Anolis sagrei: one gene and its partners. The main gene of each other region encodes a partner of the protein of the gene in region 2 in a complex. Links are inferred from orthologs where the notes say so. Each region holds a gene or a part of one and is shown on either strand. Other genes may lie near its edges. The genes, in order: MED4, MED24 and MED21.

Region 1 (3,752 bases), on a different chromosome or scaffold from region 2:
TTTGTTTTCCTGGTCTAACAGACTATTCAACATTTGAAATACCATATTTACTCGAATTTAATGCTCACCTTTTTTTGGCTAAATTACATAGCCAAAGGTGAGGTACGCATAAGATTTGATGGTGCGTTAGAATTGCCTGCACCCTTCCATCAGGCTGAGAACTCAGTTTTGAAGGCCTTGTGAATGAGGCCTTATTTGAGACGCTGCCAAACGTCCGTCAGGCTGAGGCTAGTTAGTTCACCAGCCTTGGACAGATGGAGAAGCAAGGCTTCTCCTTGCCTGTCAATTTTTCCAGGGTGGTGAGCTGAACATCCAACAGGCAAGGGGAACCCATGCATTACATTTAACAAGAAAACATTTTTTTTTGCAATGTGCACTTTCAAAATTGAGATGAACATTACAATTGATAACAAATTATGCTTGAGTAAGTATGGTAAGAAGTGAAAAGGTCAACCACTTTAATACTCTTTATATTATTTCGAAACTCTTTGATTACCTGGCTGTCCTCTCCGGTTTGTGTAAGTTTCTGGTTTCTTGAAATTGCCAGCATTTCAATCAGCTCCCTGAAGCACATTTAGCATAAAGAAAGAAGCAAGAAAGAGTTTATCCTCTTTTAGAACAGAAACACATTTTCCTGCCTCTATTGTTAAACTTCAAAAAAAATCATAAACTTAATAGCTCTCCATATTTCACAAGAACATCTTTATACTGATAACCAAATCAATTTCTGCCTTCCAGTACTTTACAGATGAAAAAAAAGGTTAGTCAGCTGTATGCAGATGGAACCTATCAATTTCTTATGTAGTGATTGACTTCCTCATAAGAAGATAATGAACAACTCAAAACCCATGGAATTTCTCTGCCTCCTGCTTCCAGTTAGGAAGTCTATTTGTTAATGTTTGCAATTTTGCATTTTATGACCTTATTGGTTTAATGTATATGCATGTGTATTCTGATTAAGTGAGGTGCAACAAAAATAATTACACAAGAACTAAGTGCTCATCTGAATTCTGTTTCCCAAAAAATTGGCCCTTTAGGTCATGTTCTGGCTACATGTGTTTGGCCCCAATTCCTATAAAAGTTTCCCCCCCCCCCCCCTGGTTTGCTGCATCGCTTCCATTTATTCTCCGGTGACTGGAACCATATTTGAAAAACCAGAACATATTTCATTGAGTTGCTGTGAGTTTTTTTTGGGCTGTATGACCATGTTTCAGTAGCATTCTTTCCTGATGTTTCGTTTGCAACTATGGCAGGCACCCTCAGATGTTTGTTCAGAGGTGTGTTGGAATGAGGCAAGTGGGGTGTAAATATATCTGTGGAAGGACAAGAGTGGGGGAAAGAACCTTTGCCTATTTGAAGCCTTGATTAGCATTGAGTAGCAGCTGCAAAGTCTGGCTGTTGTACTTCGACAAGATTTGTTTGTACATACATTGAATGTTTTATGACCATAACATATGTATGAAAAACATTCTTATGAGTAGGTTCTTGTGGGTTTTTTTCAGGCTATAGAGCCATGTTCTAGAGGCATTTCTCCTGACGTTTCGCCTGCATCTATGGCAAGCATCCTCAAAGGTAGTGAGGTCTGACATTCTTATGGTTTATATTATCCGGTTGTCAGAGTGGACCAGCATTTCTGTGTCCTCAATTAATATTCTGTTTGAGTATACATTGTCGAAGGCTTTCATGGCTGGAATCACTGGGTTGTTGTAGGCTTTTTCGGGCTATATAGCCATGTTCTAGAGGCATTATCTCCTGACGTTTTGCCTGCATCTATGACAAGCATCCTCAGAGGTTGTCTATTTTGTCCCAGTCCTGGGAATTCATCTTCTGGCTGATGTTTATATGGCTTGGAACAGTTTCTCCCAGTAGAGATGTTCAATGTATTGTCGAAGGCTTTCATGGCTGGAATCACTGGGTTGTTGTAGGTTTTTTTCGGGCTATATGGCCATGTTCTAGAGGCATTCTCTCCTGACGTTTCGCCTGCATCTATGGCAAGCATCCTCAGAGGTTGTGAGGTCTGTTGGAACTAGGAAAAAGGGTTTATCTCCATTTTCCTGTAAGTGAGGTTGTCTATTTTGTCCCAGTCCTGGGAATTCATCTTCTGGCTCATGTTGATATGGCTTGGAACAGTTTCTCCCCGTAGAGATGTTCAATGTATTGTCGAAGGCTTTCATGGCCGGAATCACTGGGTTGTTGTAGGTTTTTTTCGGGCTATATGGCCATGTTCTAGAGGCATTCTCTCCTGACGTTTCGCCTGCATCAACATCAGCCAGAAGATGACCAAGGCCCTCGGCCCTGAGAAGCGAAGAAGGCGTCCCTGCAGACATTGCCCCTGCGACAAGGGGAACTTACCTGGCAAGGAGCTCCAGGTCGTCCAGCGCTGCCAAGAGCCGCTCCCGAGTGCTACTCCGGTCTCCAACCCCTGCCGCCGCCGCCATTGCCTCTCTCCGCGTCTCTGACAACAGGGAGGGAGGGTGAACGCGCCGGAAGCGAGAGAAACAGGCACACAAACCGGAAGTGGCAGCGCCCCTCGTGGCGCCAGGGTGATTGAGGGCGCGCGCCCTGGCCCGTGCTGTGGCTCGCGCTGGCGCATGCGTAGCGCGAGCGGGGCAAGCTCGCCTGAGCCGAGGGGCCGGGGAGGAAGGAGGCTCGTCATGGCCGCCTCCATGATGTGTTCTCGGGTGGTGACAGCGGCCGCCAGGCAGCTGAGGGGATACCAGGGAGGGCGCGCCAGCCTCGCTGCCAAGGTGAGGGGAGCGGGGAAGAGGAGGGCGGTGGAGACAGACCCTGGCCTGGCCTTGCTTTCCTTCCCCAGCGTCCTTTAGATGCCCTCCCCCTCCTTCCGGCGCCGGCACCCGGAACTCACCTCTTTCTGCAGAGGGAGGGCTCACACTCTGCACTGCCGAGTTAACACAGTTTGGCACCACTGTTGGGGAACCCTGGGAGGGCCCTTCCACACAGCCATATAACCCAGACTATCAAGGCAGGTCTTCCACAATATCTGCTTTGATCTGCGTTATCTGAGTCCACAATGCCACATAACCCAGTTCAATGGGGATTTTATCCAGCTATGTGCAAGGGGCTCCAGTTGCCGTTTGACAGAAGAGACTCAAGGCCTTAGAAACATAGAATCAAAGAGTTGGAAGAGACCTCATGGGCCATCCAGTCCAACCCCCTGGACAGGAATATTGCATTCAAAGCACCCCTGACAGATGGCTATCCAGCCTCTGTTTAAAAGCTTCCAAAGAAGGAGCCCCCACCACACTCCGGGACAGAGAGTTCCACTGCTGAACGGCTCTCACAGTCAGGAAGTTCTTCCTCATGGAAGGAATATATATCATTTGGAAGAGTGAATTTATAACTCAAGCCTTGAGAAAACTCTAGAGCAGTGGTTCTCAACCTGGGGTCCCCAGATGTTTTTGGCCTTCAGCTGCCAGAAATCCTAACAGCTGGTAAACTGGCTGGGATTTCTGGGAGTTGTAGGCCAAAAACATCTGGGGACCCCAGGTTGAGAACCACTGCTCTAGAGGGAAATTACTGAGTAGCATTTAGACCAGGGGTCCTCAAACTAAGGCCCAGGGGCCAGATACGGCCCTCCAAGGTCATTTACCCAGCCCTCGCTCAGGGTCAACCTAACTCTGAAATGACTTGGAAGCACACAACAACAACAACAACAACAATCCTATCTCCTCTGCCAAAAGCAGGCCCACACTTTCCATTGAAATACTAATAAGTTTATATTTGTTAAAATT
Region 2 (3,752 bases):
ACTTCAGGTACAAGGTCATTTTGCATTTTTGATCCTTCTCTTTAAAAATCAACTGAAGCTGGATTTACACTGCCATATAATCCAGTTCAAAGCAGATAATCTGGATTTTATATGGCAGTGTACATGGAGCCTGGGAAAATATATACCAGAGGGTGTACCCACTGTAGAAATAATGTATTTTGACAACATTTTACCTGCTGTGGCTCAATGCTGTGGTTTCACAAAGCCTTCAGCCTTCTCTGCCAAAGGGGGCTAGTGCCCCCAACCAGACTATAACTCCCATAACATAGCGCCATAGCAGTTAAAGTGATATCAAGTTGATTAGACTGTAAATGTAGGCTGAGAGGCTACATATCTCCTACCACCGGTTTCTTGAAAGCTAATTTCATCTGGATCATATGCTTACAAGGAATCTTACAAAATAGAAAAAAATAAAATATTAGCCTATGGAGACCTAAGAGCTGACACTCACGACCCTTTCACACCACCATATAACCCAGAATATAAAGGCGGAAAATCCCAAAATATTTGCTTTGAACTGGGTTAGAGAGAAGGATATTAGAGGCAAAGATGAAGTACTTTGGCCACATAATAAGATAGGAACGCTTGGAGAAGATAATGATGCTGGGGAAAATGATGCTGGGAGAAAGGAAGATGGGCCAACTAAGGACCAGATGGATGGATGGTATCCTTGAAGTGACTGGCTTGACTTTGAAGGAGCTGGGGGTGGCCACAGCCAATAGGGAGCTCTGGAGTGCTGGTCCATGAGGTCACGAAGAGTCAGAAGCAACTGAATAAATAAACAACAAGTATTATCTGAGTCCACACTGCCTTATATTCCAGTTCAAAGCAGAAAATGGGGGCTTTATTTAGCTGTGTAGAAGGAGCCTCAGTGTACATCTACACCGTGGAATTGATGCTGTCTGATACCACTCAAATGTTATGGAATGATGGGAAATGTAGTTTCACAAGGTCATTCACCCTCTCTGCTAAAGGGTGTTGGGCTTTCACCAAATCACAATTCCCAGAATTCAACAGCATTCATCCAAGGCAGTTAAACTAGTAACTAACTGCATTAAGAGTATGGAAAGAAAAGGGGAAAAACATTATTTAGTATCACATAAAACTCACTGTGGTAGTTAGGTTGCAATATCATACAATCATATTTAGAAAGCCCAATTTAAGGTGCAGGTGCTTACCTACAAAGCCCTAAACGGTTTGGGACCATCCTACCTGTGTGACCGCATCTCCGTTTATGAACCCACGCGCACACTTCGTTCATCCGGAGAGGCCCTGCTCGTGATTCCGCCTGCGTTGCAGGCGCGTTTGGTGGGGACGTGAGACTGGGCCTTTTCTGTGGTGGCCCCCCGACTCTGGAACACCCTCCCCAAAGATCTTAGGCAGGTCCCTATATTGGCAGGCTTTAGAAAGAACTTGAAGACCTGGCTGTTCCGATGTGCCTTTCCAGAATAGGAAAACTCCAATAACAAGTCCCAGAAGCACTTTATTAGAATTAAGACTACTGCACACCGCACACTGCACTTACCCTATAATCCTTACATATCACCTGTCACATCAGCACTTTTAATTCTGTACCCATTACTCTTGCCCGGCCCAGTTTTATTGTGTCTTGGTGTATTGTTTATTGCTTGTTGTTTAATATTGCTTTGATTGTTTTTAATTTGCTTTAGGTTTTGTATTGTTGTGTTGTTTTTTGAAGCCTTGGCCTTTGTAAGCCACATCGAGTCCTTCGGGAGATGCTAGCGGGGTACAAATAAAGTTAATAATAATAATAATAATAATAATAATAGAAAATGCCTTGTTTTTGAATAGACATGTAGAACTGCTCTGGCAAAGTTTACATTTTGCATTAAACTTAAGTTACATCGTAAGACCATGTGGATTCTAGTAAAACAAACTCCTTGCAAGACTAAAAACAGGTCACTCATATAGTGAACAAAACTCAAGAGGCCCCTTCTACACTGCCATATAATCCAGATTATCAAAGCAAATAATACACATTATCTGCTTTGAACTGGATTATCCGAGTCTACACTGCCATATAATCCAGTTGAAAACAGAGAATCTGGATTTTATCTGGCAGTGTAAAAGGGGCAGACATAATAACCAAAGGGGGTTTGGTTATTAAAGTGGAGAAAAACTGAGGATTCTTCATTGTTTTCCTTTGGTCCACTTACCTATTCCTTTCCCTATACAAAGAAACACACGCCTCTCAGTTCCTGGATTCCGCCATTTTCCCACTTCGCAAAGAGCCGTGCGCTAATTGGCTGGCGCGATCCCTAAGGCGCAAGGGCTGGTGGGGGATGTAGTTTATTTGAATCCAATGGAGTGTAATGGGGTTTTTGAAGGAATTATTCTATTTGAGGGAGAAAAAGAACATAATAGAAAGGCCATAATAATACCAAGGAGCACAGCTACAGTCTGCTTACTATAATGAACTCACACAAACTAAAGTAATAAATAAAGAAAATAAATCTGCAAACTCCATACTAACTATCCTTTATTATGTGAATACTTTTAAATGAGATAATATATACACACACACACACACACAATTTTATATATATATATATATATATATATATATATATATATACCCTGTGGCGCAGTGGGTTAAAGCACTGAGCTGCTCAACTTGTTGACCGAAAGGTCGCAAGTTCAAATCCAGGGAGCAGGGTGAGTTCCCGCTGTTAGCCCCAGCTTCTGTCAACCTATTAGTTCAAAAACATGCAAATGTGAGTAGATCAATAGGTACCGCTCCGACAGTAAGGTAACAGCGCACCTTGCAGTCATGCCAGCCACTTGACCTAGGAGATGTCTATGGATAACGCCGGCTCTTCGGCTTAGAAATGGAGATGAGCACCACACCCCAGAGTCGGACACGACTGGACTTAATGTCAGGGGAAAACCTTTACCTTTACCTTATATATATATATATATAGAGAGAGAGAGAGAGAGAGAGAGAGCTCTCGGTTAATCAGCACCCATGAGGATTAGTAGATGTCAAATAAACATAATTTCTGCTTGCTTGAGAGTTACTATTAAAATTGACCTAACTAATACTACATCCCATACTATGTCATATCATAAGCTCTGTACTGACTTGATATTGAAATACAGTCACTGAAATCAAATAAAAACAAATGTAATGTAACACAGTTTTACTGTTTTACTGTATCACACTTTTAAAATGTAAATAATAATAAGAGGAAGAATAATTTTATTTTTCTACCGCCTCACCTCGTGGCTCGAGGCGGGTTACAGAATAATTGGAACACATTGTTTTGTTGATTCCGTCGCTTCCGACTCTTCGTGACCTCGTGGACCAGCCTATGCCAGAGCTCCCTGTTAGCCGTGGCCACCCTCAGCTCCTTAAAGGTCAATCCAGTCACTTCAAGGATACCATCCATCCACCTTGCCCTTGGTCGGCCCCTCTTCCTTTTTCCTTCCTTTTTCCCCAGCATCATTGTCCTCTCTACTCTTTCCTTTCTTCTCATGATGTGGCCAAAGTATTCCATCTTTGCGTCTAATATCCTTCCCTCCAATGAGCAGTCGGGCTTTATTTCCTGAATTATGGACTGGTTGGATTTTCTCGCAGACCAAGGCACTCTCAGAATTTTCCTTCAACAACAGAGTTCAACAGCGTCTATCTTCTTTCACTCAGTCTTCCTTATGGTCCAGCTCTCACATCCATAGGTTACTACGGGAAATATCACTGCTTTAACTATGCA
Region 3 (3,752 bases), on a different chromosome or scaffold from region 2:
GCGGCCTCCTCCTCACCGCCTCTGCTGCTCCCGGCCTTGGAAGCCCCTTGGGCTCCGTTGATGGCACTGCCGGGCTGGGCTGAGGCCTCAGACCAGCCTGGCAATGCCATCAACGGTGCCCAAGGAGCATCAGAGGCCGGGAGCAGCGGAAGTGGTGAGGAGGAGGCGGCTGTCGCTGAGTGGGCAGATTTTCACTTATCGTGGCTGGCCCTGAAACGGAACACCCGCGATAAGTGAGGGAACACTGTAATTCAGTTTGAAGCAGATAATCTGTTAGGTTTTGAGACTGCTGTTTATGTATTGTTTTTTTTTTGCCTTGGCTTTTGTATTGCATTTTATTTTTTGTTAGGTTTTTGATATTGCAGTTTATGAATTATGTTTTATTTTTGCTTTGGTTTTTGTACTGTTTTCTTTTTTGCAAGCCGCCCCGAGTCCTGTTTGGAGAAGGGGTTGGATATAAATAAACACAATCATAACGATAATTATTATTATTATGTAGATGGGACCTGAATCAATTTAATTTAGGCTGCTTCTACACTGCCATATAATCCAGATTATAAAATCAGATAATTCACATTATTTGATTTGAACTGGATTAAACGTCAGTTTAGAAGGAGCCTGAGGGCCCTTCCATGCAGCCATAAAACCCAGACTATGAAGGCAGAAAATCACACAATATTTGCTTTGAACTGGGTTGCCTGAGTCCACACTGCCATATATTCCAGTTTAAAGCAAATAATCTGAATTTTATTCAGCTGTGTGAAAGGGACCCGAGTCTACACTGCTATATAATCCTGTTCAAAGCAAGTAATCTGGGAGTCCTTTTGGACCCTCTGCTGACCATGGAGGCCCAGGTCTCTGCTGTTAGCAGAACTGCCTTTTTTCATCTGCGGCAGGCTAGATGGCTGTCCCTACCTGTCTAGGGATGACCTAGCTATGGTGATCCAGGCTACAGTCATCTCAAGATTGGACTACTGTAACGCCCTCTACATTGGCCTTCCTCTGTCGATGATCCGGAAGCTCGAGTTGGTACAAAATGCAGCTGCTCGGCTTTTTGCGGGAATTCCGATGAGATGCCACACAACACCAATCTTACTGCAGCTGCATTGGTTACCAATTGAGCACCTGATCACTTTCAAAGTGATGGTACTCACCTTTAAGGCCTTGCATGGTCTAGGGCCAATGTACCTGAGGGACTGCCTCACCCCCTACCAACCCCAGAGATCCCTCTGTTCTGAGGACCAAGATCTATTGGAAGTCCCCAGTGTCAAGACCTTGCGTCTAACAGCAACCAGACACAGAGCCTTCACAGCAGTGGCACCATCACTCTGGAATACTCTGCCACCTGAAGTCCGTGCCTTGCGGGACTTACCAGCTTTCCGCAGGGCATGTAAGACATACCTGTTTTGACAGGCTTTTAATGTTTGATATTGCTGTTTTTAAATTGTTTTAAATTGTTTTAAAATTGTGTTCGATTTTAGCCTATTCTTGTAAGCCGCTCTGAGCCCCAGGGGAGTGGCGGCATATAAGTTCGAATAATAAATAAATAAATTTTACATGGTAGTGTAGAAGGGGCCATCATTTGTGTCAGCCACAAAAACAAAATTTCTGGAGTAGAGCAACTGCTTTCAAAGTACCGCACAATTAAACAAGAAATATCACTTTCAAACTAGGAACAGAAAAATTCTCAAATTTTGTGACATGGTGTAAGTATTTTGCTAAACTCATTGTGGGCCCTGTCACTCTACCTGGCTACGGCGCTCTCACTCCACTTCAGCTGCCATGGCAACATCCTGTGGAACCCCAGAGTTTTGAAGTTCAGTGAGACCCAAAGGCTTTCTGGTGAAAACGTCTAAGTTCTTCAACACTGCCTATCCAAGAATGTCATACAGTGCTGCCATAGCAGTTGAGATGGAATAACAGCTTGACAAAATGTGGTCTGAAGGAGAGTAAGAACTAAGAAAAGGGCGAGAGAGTGGCCATTTCTACTCAGGGATTTATTTAGTAGAAGCCATCCCTAGAGCAAATTGCCTTTTTTTCTCTCCTTCCAATAAAAATAAATACAACTCCAACTTTCCAGAGAAGGGGGAAGACCAATGGCCCATGCATGCATGCATGCATCCTCCTCGTCAACTCACCGAATTGACGGCGTCTTGCAGCTGAGTGAGGCGATCCGCCATCTTGGAAGCAGCGACCAACACAAAGCCACGCGAGAGCCAATGGGAAGCTCCCGGCCAATCCCGAGGAAAGGGCGGGAGGTGGCGTTGCTAAGCAACGCCGTGACGCGCTGGTCCAATCCGGAAGATTGTAAAGTATTGATTCTGTGGGTGACGAATGGGATTCTTTCAACTGCGCCCTCTGTTGGATGGGAAAAACCTCCTTCTTGCAAGGGAAAGCAGTCCCTTCAGGCCTTTCCAGTGTTTACCTTTGCCTTCCTGTGAGGCACCCAGTCTAGCACGGATTCAGACCCTGGTTTCCAGAGTCGTAGCCGAGCATTGCAACACACCCAAATACCTGGGAGTCACTCTGGATCGTGCTCTGACCTACAAGAAGCACTGCCTGAACATCAAACAAAAAGTGGGCGCTAGAAACAACATCATACGAAAGCTGACTGGCACAACCTGGGGATCACAACCAGACACAGTGAAGACATCTGCCCTTGCGCTATGCTACTCTGCTGCTGAGTATGCATGCCCAGTGTGGAACACATCTCACCACACTAAAACAGTAGATGTGGCTCTTAATGAGACATGCCGCATTATCACAGGGTGTCTGCGCCCTACACCACTGGAGAAATTACACTGCTTAGCCGGTATTGCACCACCTGACATCTGCCGGGAAGTAGCAGCCAATAGTGAAAGGACCAAGGCAGAGACATCTCCAGCTCATCCCCTGTTTGGGTATCAGCCAGCACGTCAACGACTTAAATCAAGATCTACAGAGACACTCGCTGGAACACCCCAGCAAGCGAGAGTCCAAAAGTGGCAGGCCCAAACCCAGCACCTCAATCCATGGGTGATACCAGATGAGAGACTTCCTCCTGGGCACTCAGAAGACTGGGCGACTTGGAAGGCGCTGAACAGACTGCGCTCTGGCACCACGAGATGCAGAGCCAATCTTAAGAAATGGGGCTACAAAGTGGAATCCTCGACATGTGAGTGTGGAGAAGAGCAAACCACTGACCACCTGCTGCAATGCACCCTGAGCCCTGCCACATGCACAATAGAGGACCTTCTTGCGGCAACACCAGAGGCACTCCAAGTGGCCAGATACTCGTCAAAGGACATTTAACCAAATACCAAATTTGCAAAATCTGTGTGTTTTTTTTCCTTTTTCTTTTTAATCTGTGTGTTTGTTTTGCTCTGTTAGAATTGTAATACAATGGTTGCTGATGACACGATAAATAAATAGCTGATCAGTTTGAGCTGAGCATCTCTTATCCAAATTGCTATACCCCAAAGCCCAAATTGTCTACATTTTGGGCTGAGATAGTGTAACATTGGATTGCTGATATATACAAACCTTTGGGTTGTTGTAGTTTTTTTCGGGCTATATGGCCATGGTCTAGAGGCATTCTCTCCTGATGTTTCGCCTGCATCTTTGGCAAGCATCCTCAGAAGTTGTGAGGTCTGTTGGAACTAGGCAAAAGGGTTTATATATCTGTGGAATGACCAGGGTGAGACAAAGGACTCTTGTCTGCTGGAGCTAGGTGTGAATGTTTCAACTGACCACCTTGATTAACATACAATGGC

What was found.
Region 1: MED24 (region 2) and MED4 share a complex: the UniProt entries of both Homo sapiens proteins name them as parts of the mediator complex. The link is inferred for Anolis sagrei from reciprocal best matches to the Homo sapiens genes MED24 and MED4.
Region 3: MED24 (region 2) and MED21 share a complex: the UniProt entries of both Homo sapiens proteins name them as parts of the mediator complex. The link is inferred for Anolis sagrei from reciprocal best matches to the Homo sapiens genes MED24 and MED21.

The regions. Positions count from the first base shown.
Region 1 is NC_090021.1:150,140,648-150,144,399, reverse strand, and holds the start of MED4 (mediator of RNA polymerase II transcription subunit 4), read right to left. Parts: upstream 2,490-3,752; 5' UTR 2,439-2,489; coding exon 2,353-2,438; intron 564-2,352; coding exon 497-563; intron 1-496. Other genes in the region: SUCLA2 (succinate--CoA ligase [ADP-forming] subunit beta, mitochondrial), read left to right, coding at 2,592-2,747. UniProt on the Homo sapiens protein: Component of the Mediator complex, a coactivator involved in the regulated transcription of nearly all RNA polymerase II-dependent genes.
Region 2 is NC_090026.1:40,879,985-40,883,736, reverse strand, and holds the start of MED24 (mediator of RNA polymerase II transcription subunit 24), read right to left. Parts: upstream 2,271-3,752; 5' UTR 2,199-2,270; intron 1-2,198. UniProt on the Homo sapiens protein: Component of the Mediator complex, a coactivator involved in the regulated transcription of nearly all RNA polymerase II-dependent genes.
Region 3 is NC_090025.1:91,892,969-91,896,720, reverse strand, and holds the start of MED21 (mediator of RNA polymerase II transcription subunit 21), read right to left. Parts: upstream 2,246-3,752; 5' UTR 2,181-2,245; coding exon 2,139-2,180; intron 1-2,138. UniProt on the Homo sapiens protein: Component of the Mediator complex, a coactivator involved in the regulated transcription of nearly all RNA polymerase II-dependent genes.